Linked DNA regions of Xenopus tropicalis. The protein of the gene in region 1 purifies or fractionates together with the protein of each later gene. This does not show direct contact. Links are inferred from orthologs where the notes say so. Each region holds a gene or a part of one and is shown on either strand. Other genes may lie near its edges. The genes, in order: kcnq1 and akap9.

Region 1 (9,308 bases):
CAACCTGGCCCAAGAAAAGTCACCATGCTGAAGCTTGAATGAATCCGAACACTACGAAAAAATCGCAACATTTTGTGCAACTTTCGGAATGGCTACGAAAAAGGCGCGATAATTTTCCGAAAAAATCGGCAAATACCGATCATTACGAAAAAAACGCAATCGGACGCATTCGGCCGGTTCGTGAGTAAGTAAATGGGCTCCATAGAGTGTCAGCTTTTTGTCCGAAAACATAGGAAATGGTGGGAGCGCTGCTCCCACATTTACTATATAAAATCTTGTAGATCCACAACACAACAGTATTTATCATTTATCTTTGTAAGTTAGAGGCCAGTTTCACTGAGGTTGTCATGATGCCTCTACTGACTCCAATGCACTTATAACTGGTTCACAGAAAGAAAAACTCAGAGGCTGCCTCTGGTACATATTGATCAGCCAATGACCTCTCAGATGTGCTGAGAAAGTTGAATAACCAGCATGATTTCTAGAATGGGGGTTCTGACCCATATTGGCCTTGCGTGCCAATACAGCGAGAGCTGTTAATCCAGAAGCTTGGTATAAGCAGTCTAACATACTTTATGAATTCATTAATTTTTCAAAAGTGCTCAGAGGAGCCCTAGGACATGTTAAGTCATTTTTAAGGTTTATGAGTTTTTGAACTAGGGTCTTAAAGGACATGTAAACCCCCCCACAAAAAATGTGATTAGTGAACAGCCTCTTTGCAATCTTTAAATACCCACCACTCCTGTTGTTAAAAGGTTAATAGTAAGGCTGCAGCATCCCCTTAATCACTTGGGATTCTTTCTCCTCCTCTAACCCGCTTGGGGCCCCTCCCTCAGGAATTAACTTTGGCTCCTGGCTAAATGAGCATGCTCAGTTCTTCTCAACTTAGGTTACTAAACACACCCTCCAGTCTAGCAGCCAATGAAGAGATGGCACCTCTGGTTTCCATAGAAACTGCTCTAGCTGTGCACTTTTTCTTCTAACTGAGCTCAGCTTAACCACTGCAGTGCTGAATCCGAGGAGAACATTTTATTAAAGTAAATTCTGCCTGTGTAAGCCTGCATTGTTCATTGCATGAACTTTACAGCACACATGTGCCGTTTGGTGAAAAATGGCCACCAGGTGAAAGCTGCTATGTGATGGTGCTGGCAACCAGAGGGGATGTATGCAATACAAGTGTTCTGGTTTAGGTGGGGGAGATGTGCCCAACTTATATACATAGTAGGAAAATGTAGGGTTTACATGTCCTTTAAATATGCAAGAGGCTGGGAAACCTGTCATAACTTCAACATTTTCTAAAAGGGCTTATTGTGTTATTACTATAACAATTTAGGGTTTTTACGGCATTTTATTTAGCCTTGGAGAAGAATTTGTTTTTATGTTTCTCCTTTCCTGGACAGGAAGATCCAATAAACTATGGCAGGAAGTGGAAATTTAGTGGGAATGTGCTCTACCAAGTTAACTCCATACCACTAGTGACATTATTTTACTAGTGTCATGGCTAACACTCTAATAGTGAGTGTGTATAATGTGTATTTCTATAGCACTCCCTTACCTCATGTTGCCAAGATTATTTATTAACATTGCACACAAACATCACTGATGATGTGGCCCATAGCAACCAATCAGATCTTTGCTTTTGTTTTCTAACTTGTAGATGACTGTTCAAATCCAATAGCGGATTGGTTGCTATGGGCAACATCACTGGTGATGTCTGTCCCCAGTGTTAATAAAGACACCCCTTTATCTCTATCGTGGAACGCTGTAACTGCATCACAATGCACTGATGGTTTTGACCGGTGCTTGTTCTATAATATGTGGCAGTCAAGAGCCATATGCAAGACCCCAAAAATCTTAATGATTGGAGATGGCACCTCCAGCGTCTCCAGAGCGGTAGCAACATTACACCAGGAAAGTGGTATATATTGATTTACCCAGCACACAGTTTTGGGGCTCCTCTGCACATTGTTTCACCAGCAATCCCCCCACCTCCCCCTAAATACGTATGCAATGGTCACAGGAAGGAGACTGGGGGGTGTTGTTGCCTACCTGGCTCCTTTCTTTCCTGGTCCACCCCCCCACAGTCATGGGATCTGCTGTACAGTAACGACACCAGTGCGCCAATGAAATGGCACAATTTAGAAGGGTTCTAGGGTTTCATGCAGATGGTGATAATGTTTGGAAGCACAAAACAAAGAATCATTCTCCACCTTTTTCGGACCTGATGCCAACAAGCCACTGACATTGTACCAGATGTCTCCATAAGAGGCACCAGATAATCAACTTTATGAATTTTGCACCAATCAGTGTATGCCATTTTATTCTCTCTCTCTCTTTTGGATTCCAGGAACTGATAACGACGTTGTACATTGGATTTCTGGGCTTGATCTTCTCATCCTATTTTGTTTATCTTGCCGAAAAAGATGCTATTGATAGTTCCGGTGAATACCAGTTTGGCAGTTATGCCGATGCACTTTGGTGGGGAGTGGTGAGTAGCCTGCTTACCTAATGAAGCCTAATCATATAGACATGGCGGCCGTAGGATCCTGCTGTATGGGAGCTGCCAATAAACTGAATTGTTAGGGGGCAAAAAATTTAAGTTTTGATATTCTCTATGGAGATATGCTCTATGGAGCCCAATAGAACATCAACCCTTATGGTTTAAAATGCATCTTTTGGTTTCAGTAGTGAAACCAAAACTGCACCACGGGTACATAGTAGCACAGCAGGGTTTGCACGTGCCATCTCAGTCCTGTTTGGGCCCTCTTCACTGTGATAGCCGCCACTTAGCACAGGCTGTTATAGCAAGGCCGAATCAGCTTCAATTGGTGCAAGTTGGCGCCCACCAACCCTGCTGTGCTTCCCTGCTTTTTGATAGCCTGGTAAAGCAATAGCTGCTTTTTTTTAGTCTTTGTGGTGTTCTTAGGGTGTTGTTCTCTATCTTTGGATATGATTGGTTACTATGTGTGCAATTTATTATATAAGCCCCACAGTTTTTACTGGTTTGCCTCCTGCATATTAACACCAGTTTCTTTTATTAGGTGACAGTTACAACTATTGGATATGGAGACAAAGTTCCTCAGACGTGGATTGGGAAAACCATTGCTTCCTGCTTCTCAGTCTTTGCCATTTCTTTCTTTGCCTTACCGGCGGTATGTACCTGTTCCTGGACATCCCCAGTTAGTATCTAGTCCTTATAGGAAATCAGCCCCTCAAATAGAAGGGAAAGCAGACGCACCCACGCTACTTAAACATTGCTCTTCTGATCCCTTCTGCAATTAGTGTTTTTCTCTTTTAGTTTTCATGATATCGGCTGTTTAACAATAGTAGGGGTAGTGTCCCCTCAGCAGTTCCCAAGACTGCAAAGCTGCTCCTATAGCAAAGAACAATAAAATCTGTTTATCCCCTTACAACCCTAGGTTGGTGCGGCCGTTGTGCTCTGCCAGAGCTCAGACATGAGAACAGCACAGCAGAGATTCAAGGCTAAAAATATATAAGGTCATGGTGTAGATGCCAAGCATATCTTTGATGATTAGGACTGTCGTAAATACAGAAGGGAAGCAGAGCGGAGAAGCAATTTCGAAATATCCATTTTCGACCATAAATACAAACAGCAGAGTAACTGAAAAACAATAGCGCCTTTGATAATATTTCTAGGAAAGTCACTTTGCATAGGTTTATCCAAAGGCTAGTGTAACTGGTGCTGAGCTGTATAGCTCCGTTTCTAATCCCTGTAGTTAGGAGAGTAATGGCTCTGTGTATATGCTTTCTTTTCCCTTTGCTAAGGCAACTCATTTCCATGTTTTTCCTGTTTTGTATATAGGGGATCCTTGGTTCTGGTTTTGCCTTAAAAGTGCAACAGAAACAGAGACAGAAGCACTTTAATCGTCAGATCCCAGCAGCCGCATCTCTCATTCAGGTAGAAATCATGTTTTCAGTGAAAAAATGAACTAGTGCAATTTTGGATGTAGTTCTATATGTTTTTTTTACCCAATATGCAGTATTTGTCACCCATAGAGAGGGGGAGTTGGTGTCTGAAGCATTTGCACCCAATGCCCTGCTGTACCTTCACATTGACACAAATTGCACGAGTCTGGATGGTATTATTTCCATCACTAAAAAGTGGCACATGTGCATTATTCTTTGGGGCAAATTTGCTGCATTATTCAGTAGCAATCTGGAATTACTGCCAGCTTGAAGGTGGCACTAGCTCTAGGGTACCCATGTCAAAAGGGAAACACACAGTGGGGTACAGGGGTTACTGCATTTTGGGGCCCCATGGCAGAGGGGGTCACCTTAGGGCAGTGATCCCAACCAGTGGCTCGGGGGCAACATGTTGCTCCCCAACCCCTTGGATGTTGCTCTCAGTGCCCCCAAACCAGGTAGTTATTTTTGAATTCCTGACTTGGGGCCAAGTTTTAGTTGAATAAAAACAAGATTTACCAAATAAAGCCAGGGGGCTGATAGGGTGCATAGAGGCTGTCTAATAGCCAATCACAGCCCTTATTTGGCACCTCCATGAACTTTTATGGTGCTTGTGTTGCTCTCCAAGTCTATTTACATTTGACTGTGGCTCACGAGTAAGAAAGGTTGGGGACCCCTGCCTTAGGGCTCAAAGCTTGTCCCAGGACCACCAATTATGCCTTATGCCGCCAGTCGCTGCACAGGTTCTAAAACAGAGGAATTATTTGGGTAGATATGGTGTAATATCTATGAAACAAATTAAGAGTTTCCATAAGGCACAATATAATTCCCTTCCTCTACCATTTCTTTGTGTTTAGGGCTTTCCCCAGACCTTTCTCTCATTTCTTTATATAGTGAAGCTTTCCTCCACTCTGCAGCTCAAGTTGGAGTAAATAATTTATATTGTTCTTTTATTAAAGTGGATCTGTTTTGTAAATAGTTTCCAGGCATGTGTAGGTGATCTATCTGTTGCCAGTAGCTGGTGGCTGGATTATGCTAACTGCATAGCCTGCTAATGTTCTCCTTGAGGGATATTATATTTCTGGGTAAGCTTGTTGCCTTGCATTAGCTTAACCAGCATCCATCATTTGAGAGGGGGAATCATCATTGATGGTTGGGTTGCAAATTGTGTTTGGTTCTGACACTTGTCCAAAGGCTTTGTAGGGACATTGGCGCCAGTATTTATGTCTATACCCACCCACAAAGTGGGACTTGAAAACATCTTGCTGTCCTGAAGTACTGGACCAAATCTGGATGGGCAGGGTCCCAATATAATATAAGATCACAGATAATGTGACCATTTTTATACAATTAATTTTCCCTTTTCAGGAGACTTTCCTTCATTCCCATTTCTACAGTTTTTTGTTAATCGCTTCATGTAAAGGGAGGTCATTTTATTTCTCTCTCCTTCTTGTCATCAGGAGGCATCATGGGAACAATGTCCATTCTGTAATCAAACAGCTGTATTAGTGGCTTTCCGGTAATTTTATGTCCTGTGTTTCAGACAGCGTGGCGGTGCTACGCAGCGGAAAATCCTGATTCGGCAACATGGAAAATCTACATTCGGAAACAGTCGCGAAATCATCATATTTTGTCGCCCAGCCCGAAGCCCAAGAAATCCGCCATGGTACTGGTATAAATAGTTCTTATCTTGTTTCTGTCTGTTAAGGTGGCCATACACGGACCGATTTTTTACTTACAAACGACCGATTCCCGAACGATCCGATGCTATCGTTAAGTTATCGTATAGTTGGTGGTGTACGAACGATCGTCGGCCCACTAAACGAGCCGACATTATCGTCCCCAAAATCGATCGGCCAGGTTTAAAAATTTTGGTCGTTTAACGATAAAATCTGCCAGTTGGTGTGAGTGTCAGACATTTGTCTTTCAACGATTGTTCTCTGCGCATGTCACGATTGCCAGCAACGACATCGATCGTACGTAGATGTACGATCGTAGGTATCTTACGATAATGATGCGACAAAATCTTTCCCGAATTATCGTTGCCCGTGGATGGCATATCGTATGGGAACTCGATCGCCATACGATCGTTTGTCGATATAATCGTTCATCGCACAACGAGCGAAATCGCCTCGTGTATGGCCACCTTTAGTCTGTCTAGTAATTGCTTGGCTCCAGGCTGGGGAGTGCCAGACAAGTAATAGAGAGCCCTGCACTTGTATTTATGGTAGGGACCTTGGGCCTCACAACCCTTGCTTCTTGCACCTAATTATTATCCGTGCATGGCACAGAGGGCAGATGGCACCCACCCATGGGTGGAATTGAACATACCTGTACTTCAGAAAATGAGCTGGTACAGGTATTGTTATCCAGAATTCTCGGGACCAAGGGTATTCCAGATAAGGGGTATTTCCGTAATTTGGATCTCCATACCTTAAGTCTACTAAAAAAAATCAATAAAACATTAATTAAACCCAATAGGATTGTTTTGCATCCAATAAGGATTAATTATATCTTAGTTGGGATCAAGTACAGGTACTGTTTTATTATTACAGAGAAAAGGGAATCATTTAACCATTAAATAAACCCAATAGGGCTGTTCTGCCCCAATAAGGGGTAATTATATCTTAGTTGGGATCAAGTACAGGTACTGTTTTATTATTACAGAGAAAAGGGAATCATTTAACCATTAAATAAACCCAATAGGGCTGTTCTGCCCCAATAAGGGGTAATTATATCTTAGTTGGGATCAAGTACAGGTACTGTTTTATTATTACAGAGAAAAGGGAATCATTTAACCATTAAATAAACCCAATAGGGCTGTTCTGCCCCAATAAGGGGTAATTATATCTTAGTTGGGATCAAGTACAAGGTACTGTTTTATTATTACAGAGAAAAGGGAATCATTTAACCATTAAATAAACCCAATAGGACTGTTCTGCCCCCAATAAGGGGTAATTATATCTTAGTTGGGATCAGTTACAAGGTACTGTTTTATTATTACAGAGAAAAAAGAAAGCAGTTTTTAAATTCTGAATTATTTGATTAAAATGGAGTCTATGGGAGACTGGCTTTCCGTAATTCGGAGCTTTCTAGATAACGGATTTCCAGATAAGGGATCCCATACCTGTATATATATAATCTAGTATGGGTGCTATCTATGATGTCTTTTTGTCATCAATTCTAGGTTAAAAAGAAAAAAATTCGTACAGATAGAGAGGAAGGCTCTACAGACAAAATGCTAAACATTCCGAATATTACCTACGATCACGTAGCCGACGATAGAAAGAATGATGGGTATTCAGTGGAGGCATATGAGAATACAGGTAAGTAATTGGCTGCTATTGGGTGGGTTTCCCTTGGGTACTCCGGTTCCCTCCCATACTACAGAACCATACAGACCCTAGTGTATGTAAATGTGACCTTAGATTGTAAGCTCCATGGTCGAGGGACTAATATGATCATGTATAATAATAATCTATGATTTGTCCATTACAAGTTCCAACAAAATGGACAAATGTTTATCCAGCTGTGTTTCACATCCACATTTGTGGGCATTGCATTGTGTCAAGAAGCATGAGATGGTTAGCTGCATCCCATGGGAGACACTTTTACTGGAAAATAGTAGAAACTGTCATCTCATTGGAGAACAGAACGATTTAAAGGGGAAAAGGATGCAGAGGAAATGATACATTTTTTTTTGTTATGCATCAAGCAGGGTGTGACTCTTCCTTTCTGACACATGAAGGCTATAATAGGCTCTCTAGGTGTAGATGTAGCTCAGGAAATGCTAATTCTGTTGGTATGTTTTTATATTGCCTCAGACCAACAAGGCTGTGTTGATGGACATCACTGTGACATACATATAGGATGGCTGCCAGTGAATCTGTATTGGGAGCCATAGGTGGAGATAGACATGATGGAAAATAAGCACTAGGATATCGTTAATGACCAGTTGACATTACTACTTTGGCTACCAGATGATGCTGGAATTCTGCGTATTCCAAAATATTATCCGAGGGCTACGTTTTGTCAGGGACCGATTCGTAAGCATAATTAGACTTTTTCCCAACTCTCCAAGGACACTTCAGAGGATCCACCAATGAGAACCCTTCACGCTCACTGCTAAATTGTGCTATGTCTGCCTTTCGGGTTGTTGGATACAGTATAGAAGCAAAAACGATGCAGTCTTCTGTTAATATCCATGGACTTTCTGCTTGAAAAGATCCATAAAGGATAGTAGGTGGGGAACTCTCTGTCTTGCTATGGACAGAAAGCCCATGGACTTGGCTGTATCTGAGGCCAGGGACAGGTGTAAACCCCAGCAGTTTGGTGATTTTACCCACTGCATTGTTTCAACACTATAAGGATGGTGCCAGAATCCCAGTAATTGCCCTATGGCTGCCTATGGGACCCATGTTTCTTTGGAACGATGCACTAGTTCTTTTTAAGGTGAGAATTGTGTGTCCTTCATCGCTTCCTGATGTTGAAATGATTTAAGATGCTTCCGTGCCACATTTATAGCACGGAGTAAGCATTGCATAAGCCACAACAGTCAGCACAGGAGAACCATTTAAATGACCTGGGCAGCTGTTTCATGAGTAGCTGTTGATACAAACTGGTGCAGTTGGAGGCCATTGGTCACATCTTGGGCAAGTACTGTTACCGTTTAATCCTCAACGCATACAAATCCCCATTGTGCAATCAGGTTTAAAAACTTGGGCCAGTGTTTAACATCAGGACATGAGGATGAATCTGATTCTTGGTATTTCCTCCGTAGGTAAAATCTCATTCACAATCTTTCTTCACAATAAAATGTGACAGTTAAGAGCTTCCTCCTATTTGTCATTCACATACTAGCATCCTAGTTGTCTTCCTCTATAAAATTCTCACGGTTTATGACTTCCTCCCGTGTGTTTTTTAGCTAGCATTTTAATACTGGATTTTTTGTTGTTGTTGTGCTGTTTGTGCGTGTCTAACCCTTCATGTTGGCTGGGGTAAAAGCCATAGAAATTTCACTCAGTCCACCATCCACACCTTTAGTTTATATCATTTTGCCACTATGTGCTTATCGGAGCTCAGAAGGATCCCTTGGTAACCATGGGGCCTCCATCTGCTTTTACTACTCTACTGTGGTCATTCCAGGATCAGTGTTCCCATGGACCCAACCAGAAACAAAACACTGACTTGACTATTTCACATCAAGCACATCCCTGATTGGCTGGGGGCAACCTGCCACAGGTTGGAGTGTTCTTCAGACCTACCAACATACAATAAAACAAAAGAGGGTTGTGGAATGAAGGTGTACAGCAGGTACCCAATGCTCTAGGCCCCAACCAGTGCTTTATTAGGGGCTTGCTTACCAACCCTCTTGTATGGCTTGG
Region 2 (9,308 bases), on another chromosome or scaffold:
TGCAGTCTAAAAGTTGCTGCAGTTCTGTGAGTTTCTGTTCTTTTTCGGCAACCTGATGATTTGCAGCGATGGCACGCTCTCGTTCCACCTGCAGTTCTTCGTGTAGGTCTGATAACTGCTTCTCTAGCTGTAAAAGCCTTAATGATAGAGCAGATAAGTTGGACTCTGCTACTTCTTCTTCATGAGATTTTGAAGTCTGAGTTCCTTTGGACTCTTCTTGCAGAATGTAAGAATCCTCAGTCTTCTGCATGAGCTGGATAGCTTTCACTTGAGCTTCACTCACCAAAGCTGCAGCCACCTTTTCCCTTAGTGTGTTTTCCATAGCTAACATGACTTCATCATGGCGATTTCGTTCAGTCTTTACTTGCTCCTCAAGCAACTCAATTTCATTTGAACACTGTAGAAGTTCTAAGTCTTTTCTGTCAAAATCTATCTGAAGTCCTTGTAACTGGGACTCCATGTTTTTCATGGCTCTCTGCATGGCCTCTTCTGCAGAAGCAGACAAAGCTTGATTTTCCAGAGGTTGAACAGCCTTTTCACTTAATGCCTCCTCACTCTTAAAAAGAGATGCTTGCAGTCTGTCCAACTCACCTCTCAAGTGTTTAATCTCTTCCTTTGCATTCTCTAATTCTATCTTTACAAAGGCGGTCTCCTCCCCATTTAATTCTGCTGTTTGCAAAATTCTGTTTTCCTTTTGCATCTTATCTGTTACAAGGTCTTTGGCTCTTTCCACCTTCTCTGGTGACTTAATTTGTTTTGCTTTAGAAAGTTTTTGATGAAGACTTTCAATTACCCCATTCAGCTGTTCAAGCTCTACTGCTTGCTTTTCTAAAAGTTGCTTTTGAACTGCATATTGTAAAAGTTCTGAATCCTTTTCTTCAACAATCTTCTGCAAATTCTGTACTTGAGACTCTAAGTTCTGTATAGTGCTTTGCACAGTATCCTGCACAGAACTGAGCAGAGCCTGACTTGCCAAGAGTTCAGCAGTCTTTTCTCTTAATGCATTCTCAAGTTTCTTAATATCATACTTAGCTTTACCTTCCCATTTTGCATTTGCGTTTTCTGGAGACTGTTTAAGTTTTTCTAACTCTTCTTTCAGTGATTTCAATTCTGCTTGCGTTTCCTCCAGCTCAGTGTTTAGTAGCTCGTGTTTACTACTAGCACTTTCACTACTTAAAGACATTTCTTCGGCCAATGTGGTTTTATTTTGGCATTCTGAAATATCAGAGACTTCTATGCTATTAAAGACTGAATCTGCAGCAGTACTTTCTTCCTGAAGTTTTCTTATCACTTGATTTAGTTGATCTATGACTTGGCTCTGTTCTTCTACTAGCTTAACTTTATCATAATATTGCAGCAGCTCTATGTCCTTTTCTTTTATAGTTTGCTTAAGTTCCTGCAGCTTTGACTCCAAGCCATGAATAGTATCCTGCATAGCCTCATGCTGAACATAAAGTAGAGAATTTTCTAAAGGCTCTGATGTGGCTTCTGCCTCTTCCTCCTTATCATTTCTGAATTCCAATGTAACATTATTACATTCTTCATATACTTGTTTACTAGCTATTTGGCCTTCTCTCACACTTTTTAATTCTGTTTTTAGCAGCTCTATTTCAGTTCTGGTTTCCTCAAGTGCAGTTCTTGTAATGGCCAGTTCTGTATCACTGAGCTCCACCTTCTTCTGTAGCAAATCTTTTTCTGCCATAATGGTTTCCAGCTGGTGCTTACTACTATCTGCATCTTCTGTCATGCTGGTAACGTCCACTGACACTTTGTTGTCTATACTTGCTAATTCATCTTGAAGTTTCTCAATGACTTCATTAAGTTTTTCTATCTCTTCTTCACTGTTCCTCTTAAGACGTTCTTGGTCACTTTTTAAGCATTTTATTTGGCTCTTATATTCTTTAATTTGATTATTTTTATCTTCGATAGTCTGTAAAACATACAAAAATGAAGCAATTTAAAACAAGAAAAGGAAATACCTGTAATAATACATTCAGTGAATAGCCTTACAGCGCTGCGGAATATGTTGGCGCTTTATAAATAAATGTTAATAATAAATAAATAGCCCTCATGTAAAGATTTAAGGTGACTATGAGGTAACTATGACTAACAACTAGAACATTTCTGTTTTTTTTTTTATTAATATATATGAGGATCTTCCTCTAAATCAGAGTGCCCCCAGTACTACGGTATGTGCATTTACAGTCTCCAATACATGTTTTTTTTATATATTTCCATGGAAAATGTATGTAAACTCATCTAAAAAAAAGAAACAAATTTACTTTGTTATCTGTTGCGGTCTCAAGTTGTGCCTGCAGCCTCCCCACATGCTCATTCAGCTGATCAATTTCTTGTTCTTTCAAAAACAGAATGTCTTCAAACTCTTCTGGTTTCATGTGATGGGTCTTTATAGCAGAGCTTTGATTATCATGATCTACATTTTCATCCTTCAACAAATGCAAACAACAATTAGCATTTTAGATAAGTGCAGTAAATTTTGGGTATCATCTTTTCAACTAAGAAATATACCTTAATATTTTAAATTACCATTCAGATTTTCAGTGCAGAAAAAAAACTAATAAGGCTTAAGCCAATATAGCCCAAGTCCTTTCCTGATTCCAATAAGGCTATTATATTTATGCATTAAGAATTTTAACAACTGAGTGGTTGAAACCTCATCTGGAAATGTCTCACAATTATGCAGCACATCAGCCATTTCTAGCTCCAAAGACAAGGAATTCCATTATTGGAACATACTTATTTGCCTCTACATTTGTGAGTGACAACCCAAAGTGCAGTGTTTTAGTAATACAGAGTTACTCTGATTGAAGCAATGAAGTGATAGGTGACAAGGATCTCTCAAACACCATTGCCCAGAGCAAACAATTTTTTTTGTGTGTAATATATACAGCCTTAGACATATGGTGGTGAAACTCAAAAGTCTCTTAAGCTTTACATTAAGACACAAGCCCAGCACTAACAGAGTTGGCAGCACCACGTATGGCACACTGTTCCCGATTAGGTGCCACATTTGGTTACTTGCTAACAAAGGGCTGGACCATGGAGGGATATTGAGAGCTACTGCCTATTTAATGAAAGTCAAATTATCTCAATAAATATTTCTGTTATTCTGTTAGTTATAGCTGTTGTTGTGAGTGATATTGTGTACAGAAGAGGTTCTTTTTAAAACTGTAGCCTCTTGCAGGGCAGTACAAAGAACATAGACGAATACTGTTGTTGTCCTTTTTGTTCACCTTGAGCACTTTATTTTCCTGTTCCAGCTCCAGTAACCGGGTAGAAGATTCTTTTCTCTGAATTTCTAGCTGCATATGGAGCTGCTGTACTTCTTCATTCTTGTTTTCCAGTTCTTCTCGGAACTGTTCCAGCTGTTCTTCTAGGTTTGTGATCTGTGAGACAAGCACATGGAAAGTTGTATGTAAGAATGCAAGAACAAAAGGCAAACATTATTTATAATGGGATACAAAGGAAGGGTTTGTCCAGATCCGAAAGCTGTCGGTTTCATTTATTTTGGGAGGACAAGCAAAAATCCTACCACTCACATAATAAGTTTGTAATATCTGGCACTGTTTCACTGCACCCTGTGTACATTTTTCTGCAGCAGAGAAATTTTGACACCTCTCAAAAGGTGAAAAAAGCCCTTCTCAACATTTGCATTCTAGCAATCATAGGATCAATCAATATTTCCAAATGTTTCGATTCAGTATCTATTGTAGCAATAGGTCATAAAGCATTTTTGAAAAGACTTAATTTGAAGGTACTGCCATATAGAAAAGTCAGTCAACCTGTGTGGCTAATTTATCATCCTGTTCTATTGGTTGGTAGCAACCATCGCTACTTTCACTTTCCAAATCCTTGCTCCCTAATGCAAATTGCATGTAGGAAAAAAATTGTAGACAATTAAGATAAACTATTAATAAAAAGGTCTCAATGTCTTTTTTAATTAAGGGAATTCGCACCTCTTTTTCTTTTCGATCTATTGCGTCACGCTCCACTTGGAGTTGTGCTTCTAGAGGTATTTCTCCTTTGGAACTAATGACGATGGACTGTCTTCTGAGCTCCACCTTCAAGAAAATGTACATATTACTTAGACTTGTTTATTTAGTATTTAACTTTTCATCCCTCGTCCATCCCTAAATCAGCACACAAAAATCACATCAAAAAGCATTACAGATAGTTTGTGTAACCTATTCTGGTATTTGCCAGAATCAACAGATTGCCAGTCCATTTCTGAATTTATTTATTTATCTACAGAGAGTGAGTAACAACATTTAGGGGGTGGGGTAATCCTATTCTATTCCTAAAAACACACACACCCGTTACATGAATCTTCACTGGTGCTGTGCCTAAAGGTGGCCATACATGTACATGTTAAAGTTCAGGGCTAAATTGTCAGACATGGAGGTAGAAGTAGGGATTCTACCTTCACCTGCCGATTCAGCCCTAAACGCAGACTTTGCTCGGCCGCCTTTTTAACTCAGCCGATCGTCGAGACGACCGATATTTGCAGCCTTTGCAATACAGGTCGGCTCATCGATCCACTATACACACACACCGAATATCGTACTAAACAAGGTTTCATACGATAATATCAGTTAGTTTATGGCAAGTTTTGCGCCTCCATTTGTAAAGCTAATGCTTACTTAACAAATATTGGATCCAAGCACCACAGACACAAGATACAACAAGATAATTGGGTGTGGAGGATCCTTTTTCATTTTGCGTGTGTATGCACCTATCTAGCCATTATCACATATTAAGGTAGGGAGAAGGTCACAAGTAAATTAACTCACCTTCTTAAGGGTATCATCACTGATGAGCAAGGCCTGCTCCAGTTCCCTGATCCGACACTCCAGCTTCTCAATCTCTTCATTCCTTTCTTGAATATCCCGCTGGAACTGTTCTTTGCAGAGCAGCAGTTCATTGCATTTGTCTGTCTTTTCCTTTAGGTTAGTTTCCAGTTTTTCAAGCTTTTTTTAAAAAAATTTAAAAAAAAAAATCAACCAAAAATACCTCTTAAATTGTACATTCGTACATTGGTGGATGCATCTATTTGTATAATTAAACGTGTGAGTTATGGCACAATGTACACAGATCCAAAGGAATACTTTAATATTTAATGGGGCGATTCACTTAGTATATTATAGAATGTCCTATTCCTAGCAACTTTGCAATTGGTCATCATTTATTTTTATAGTTTTATTTTTTTAATTATTTACCTTCCTTTTCTGCCTTTTTTTAGCTTTCAGAGGGGGGTCACTGACAGCAGCAGACTTAAAACTATTGTTCTCTGAGGCTAAAATTCTATCGTTATTGTTACTTTTACTGCTTATCTTTGTACTCAGTCCTTTAACTATTCATATTCCATCTCTCATTCAAATTACTGGCTGGTTTCTTGGGTAATTAAGACATTAGCAACCAGATAGCTGCCGAAATACCAAACTGAAGAGCTGCTGAACAAAAAGCTAAATAACTGAAAAACCACAAAAAAAGAAGGCCTATTGCAAACATTATAAAAATGCACAATAAGGGAAACAAAGGAGCACTGGATCAACAGGTGCTATCGGATAAATACATAAAAACAGAGGTGGGTGTGTCAAAGTGACCTTTCTTATATTTCTTGACAAATTAATTTGTATTTTCCCAGCTTCTTCTATAGGTACAGATGATTCAGATATTTTCACTGGGAACATGATTATAGGCACAGGACCCAATGTACTACTGCAGTGCTGTCCAACTTCTACGGTGCCGAGGGCCGGAATTTCTCTAGCATACATGGTGGAGGGCCGCTAATGGAAGCCAGTTTTGACCACTCCCCTTTTTGAAACCACACCCACTTCAAACCACACCTATTTTATCACAATGGTGGTAACACAGCAAAATCCCAAATGCTTGGTCCTTACTGTGGGGATATCAACCATCATTCATATGTGAAAGAATTATGTCATATTAAGATATACCCTTAAATTCCATATGCCTCCTCCTCCCCTGTGGATAGCAGAGCAACCCCCAGTACATAATTACACACCTTAGGGACCATTTAATGGCTATTTCCAACTGCTAACAAACTCCCACAACAAACCCCTGCCAGGTTCACCTCCCACAAGCAGCATAGAGCAAGCAGAGTATGGCACACACAGGCAGCACTCTGCCTGTCCTACGCTGTCTGTGTGTGCCATACTCTGCCTGTCCTACCCTGCCTATGTGTGCCATACTCTGCCTTCTCTATGCTGCCTCTGTGTACCATACTCTGTCTGCCCTACCCTGACTGTGTGTGCCATACTCTGCCTGCCCTACCCTTCCTATGTGTGCCATACCCTCCCTGACCTATGCTGCCTGTGTGTGCCATACTCTACCTGCCCTATGCTGGCTGTATGTGCCATACTCTGCCTACAGTACCTATGTCTGAGGTGTGAAGAAGTGAACAATGGGAGTGATTACAGCCTGAGCCTGAGGTGTGAACACTGCAGGGGGTGAACCATGCAGGTATTAAAAGGTGTGAAAAACACAGGGGATTACATTTTTAAACAATACAGGGGGATTACAGCCTGAATCTGAGGTGAAAACCATGCAGGGGGCCAGTTAATCTCAGTACTGTTACCATTTAATGCTTACTCAAAGGTAAGCCATCAAAGCAGCCAGACAGGTGGGGGGCCACACAGAGGGGGGTCGCGGGCCGCATGCGGCCCGCGGGCCGCCAGTTGGACAGCACTGTACTACTGTATCAAGCACACTGCCAGCTGTTACTGTACAAAACGTGGTAAGCTTGATGGTATTTTCCAGCTGCCTCTGACTTGACACTGGACAGACTGATGTTCAATAAAAAGAACTAGTCTTTAAAAAAAGCTAATTATACAGGTATGGGATCTTTTATCCAAATTATAGGAAGGCTGTCTCCCACAGACTTCATAAGGTATGGAGATACAAATTATGTAAAGATCCTTATCTGGAAAACCCCAAGTCCTGAGCATTCTAGATAACAGGCCCTATACCTGTACAACAGAGCAAAGCACCTTTAATCTGCAGCAGTAAATAAAAACAAGAACCGCAGGAATACCACTGACCTAATGTAACGTAAGACTTATTTATGGTACACTGGGGAAAAATAAGGTAAAACCATATTCACAGGTAGATTTGCCTTCTTTTATACATGAACTGTGAATTCTTTTGTTTTTACCGCATTGCTTTGATGATCTGTAACAGGCTGGTGCCTTTGAGGCATTTTAAGTTGCTGCTCAAGTTTCAGGATTTCCTGCTGAAAAACATCTCTTTCATGCTCTCGATCCACTGCCTGCTCCTGGAACAGAAAATTCATAACAGCACTGTAAGAGCCGCAGGAATGGTACCACTGGAGGCACATTCTATCACCAATGTAAGGGCCATCGCCTCATGGCCATCCCACATTTTGACAACTGTGTGGCCAACAGAAAGCACAAACAATCAACAAACAGGACTAAAAAATTGTGTGGACATGGCAAATGCAAATTTTCAGTCACTGTAATTTACAAATGCAGCTGCAAGTGCGGTTGCACAAAAATTGACACATTCATTACTTGCTCCTTGCATTGCTATGTCTTTCCTGACACTTCAACTGAATCTTGTGAAATTGTGGCTATGGACGCTAAGGAGACCGGACCTGCCATCCTGAACATAAAGGAAATTCCGGCTTGCAAATACTCACAGAAAAACAGAATTTGTTGTGGTGCAGCTGCAATTACTCTGGAATCATTCTGCATTGTGGGTAAAAAAATGGTGCTGTGTGTACGAAAACTGCCTTTGCACACTGCACTGTGTTCATCAATGACCCCTATTGTTGGAAAGTGTTAACACTTTTAACCAGTATGCTATGTTGATTTAGCCCCTCTTTATAACTTACATCTAAAAATTTGCGGGTCTTTTCAAGCTGTTTTTCCAAGGACAGATTCTTTTGTTGGAGGTCTTCTAGATCTGAATTCTTTTCTTGCTCTATTTCCAGGTTCCGGCTCATCTGTTCTTCCAGTTCTGTTTCCAGCACTTTGACCTGTTTGTAAAGGTCCCCTGAGTCCTTTTCTGCTTGACGTTGCACCTCTATCTTCTCCTTTAGCAGTTTCTCAGTTTCCTCTATCAACTCTGTTTATACAAAAGGTCCCCAGAAAGAAGTTAGCTGGATTGCTTTGGTGTTGCCTTTCCAAGCCATCATAAATGCCCCACTGGAAAGCTCTCATCAGGCTAAGGAAATATATTGGATTTGATTGATATATCAGAACTTTATGTGTATTGCAGGAAAGGTCTCTGTGATAATATTTGAACACAGACTTTGTTTTATGCAGTGTTCTGTTTTGCATGAAAGGTTACAAATACTATCACTGCTTTATAAAGCACCAACATATACCTAAAGTAGAAAATTAACAGCGCTAATTATTTAAACTGGCCTTTTGCTAGTACTTATATACCGCATCACTAGTTAGAAAAGCTTACCCAAGACCTTATATAAAAGGTTTACCACTACAGCTTCTACCACTAGTTATGCAGCTATGTGATATCTTATAAGATTATATAAAATTACTTGAAGGAGTTGTAACACTTTTAAATGAGTAAAGGTGGCCATACAAGAGCCAATAAAAGATGCCGGCAGGTGCCTTCCTGACTGAATTCTGGCCAAAAATCAAATCCCATCAGGATGAGGAACACCATTTGCTTGTTGGTGAAGTATTTGCCCCGACGGCCTACATCGGGCTAAACATGCATATCAATCCGATATCAAGGTGGGCATATCAGGGAAAAAATCCGCTCATTTGGCAACCATGCTAAACACGTGGATCTTTCACTGTACAGCCAGCTTTACTTTGGGGAGCTAATTTGTTCACAAGATACTGCTTTCCATATCTTACTGCATTATCTGCAGCACAAATATACTCTATGGCTGAATACAATAGGTTTCCAGCACACGTGGGAAGTTTATCAGAGGGGTGCATGCAGCATCATATGTTCACCTCCACATACCTTTAGACCTCAATATATCGAAATTGCAACACTCCCATTTCATAAGCATAAAACGCCTTTATTTTACATATGGCACAGACACAGCAACGTTTTGGACCTCCTGGTCCTTTCTCAAGCTAACAAAACGAAAAAGAAAAAAGCTTGAGAAAGGACCGGGAGGTCCAAAACGTTGCTGTGTCTGTGCCATATGTAAAATAAAGGCGGTTTTACGAATATAAATAGGGGGTTTTGCAATTTCGATATATACTCTATGGCTACCCTATGGGAAATATTTTCCAGTAACCAGATCTGGCAAAAAATGTCACTGC

What was found.
Region 2: the proteins of kcnq1 (region 1) and akap9 purify together in Homo sapiens (affinity purification with western blotting; 3 studies listed by BioGRID and IntAct, with this or other methods). This does not show direct contact. The link is inferred for Xenopus tropicalis from reciprocal best matches to the Homo sapiens genes KCNQ1 and AKAP9.

Annotation. Positions count from the first base shown.
Region 1 is NC_030680.2:25,060,522-25,069,829, forward strand, and holds part of kcnq1 (potassium voltage-gated channel subfamily KQT member 1), read left to right. Parts: intron 1-2,347; coding exon 2,348-2,488; intron 2,489-3,041; coding exon 3,042-3,152; intron 3,153-3,823; coding exon 3,824-3,919; intron 3,920-5,467; coding exon 5,468-5,590; intron 5,591-7,111; coding exon 7,112-7,250; intron 7,251-9,308. UniProt on the Homo sapiens protein: Pore-forming subunit of the voltage-gated potassium (Kv) channel involved in the regulation of cardiomyocyte excitability and important in normal development and functions of myocardium, inner ear, stomach and colon.
Region 2 is NC_030682.2:31,555,354-31,564,661, reverse strand, and holds part of akap9 (A-kinase anchor protein 9), read right to left. Parts: intron 8,128-9,308; coding exon 7,895-8,127; intron 7,316-7,894; coding exon 7,196-7,315; intron 4,989-7,195; coding exon 4,812-4,988; intron 4,083-4,811; coding exon 3,978-4,082; intron 3,408-3,977; coding exon 3,255-3,407; intron 2,448-3,254; coding exon 2,283-2,447; intron 1,931-2,282; coding exon 1-1,930. UniProt on the Homo sapiens protein: Scaffolding protein that assembles several protein kinases and phosphatases on the centrosome and Golgi apparatus. Required to maintain the integrity of the Golgi apparatus. Required for microtubule nucleation at the cis-side of the Golgi apparatus.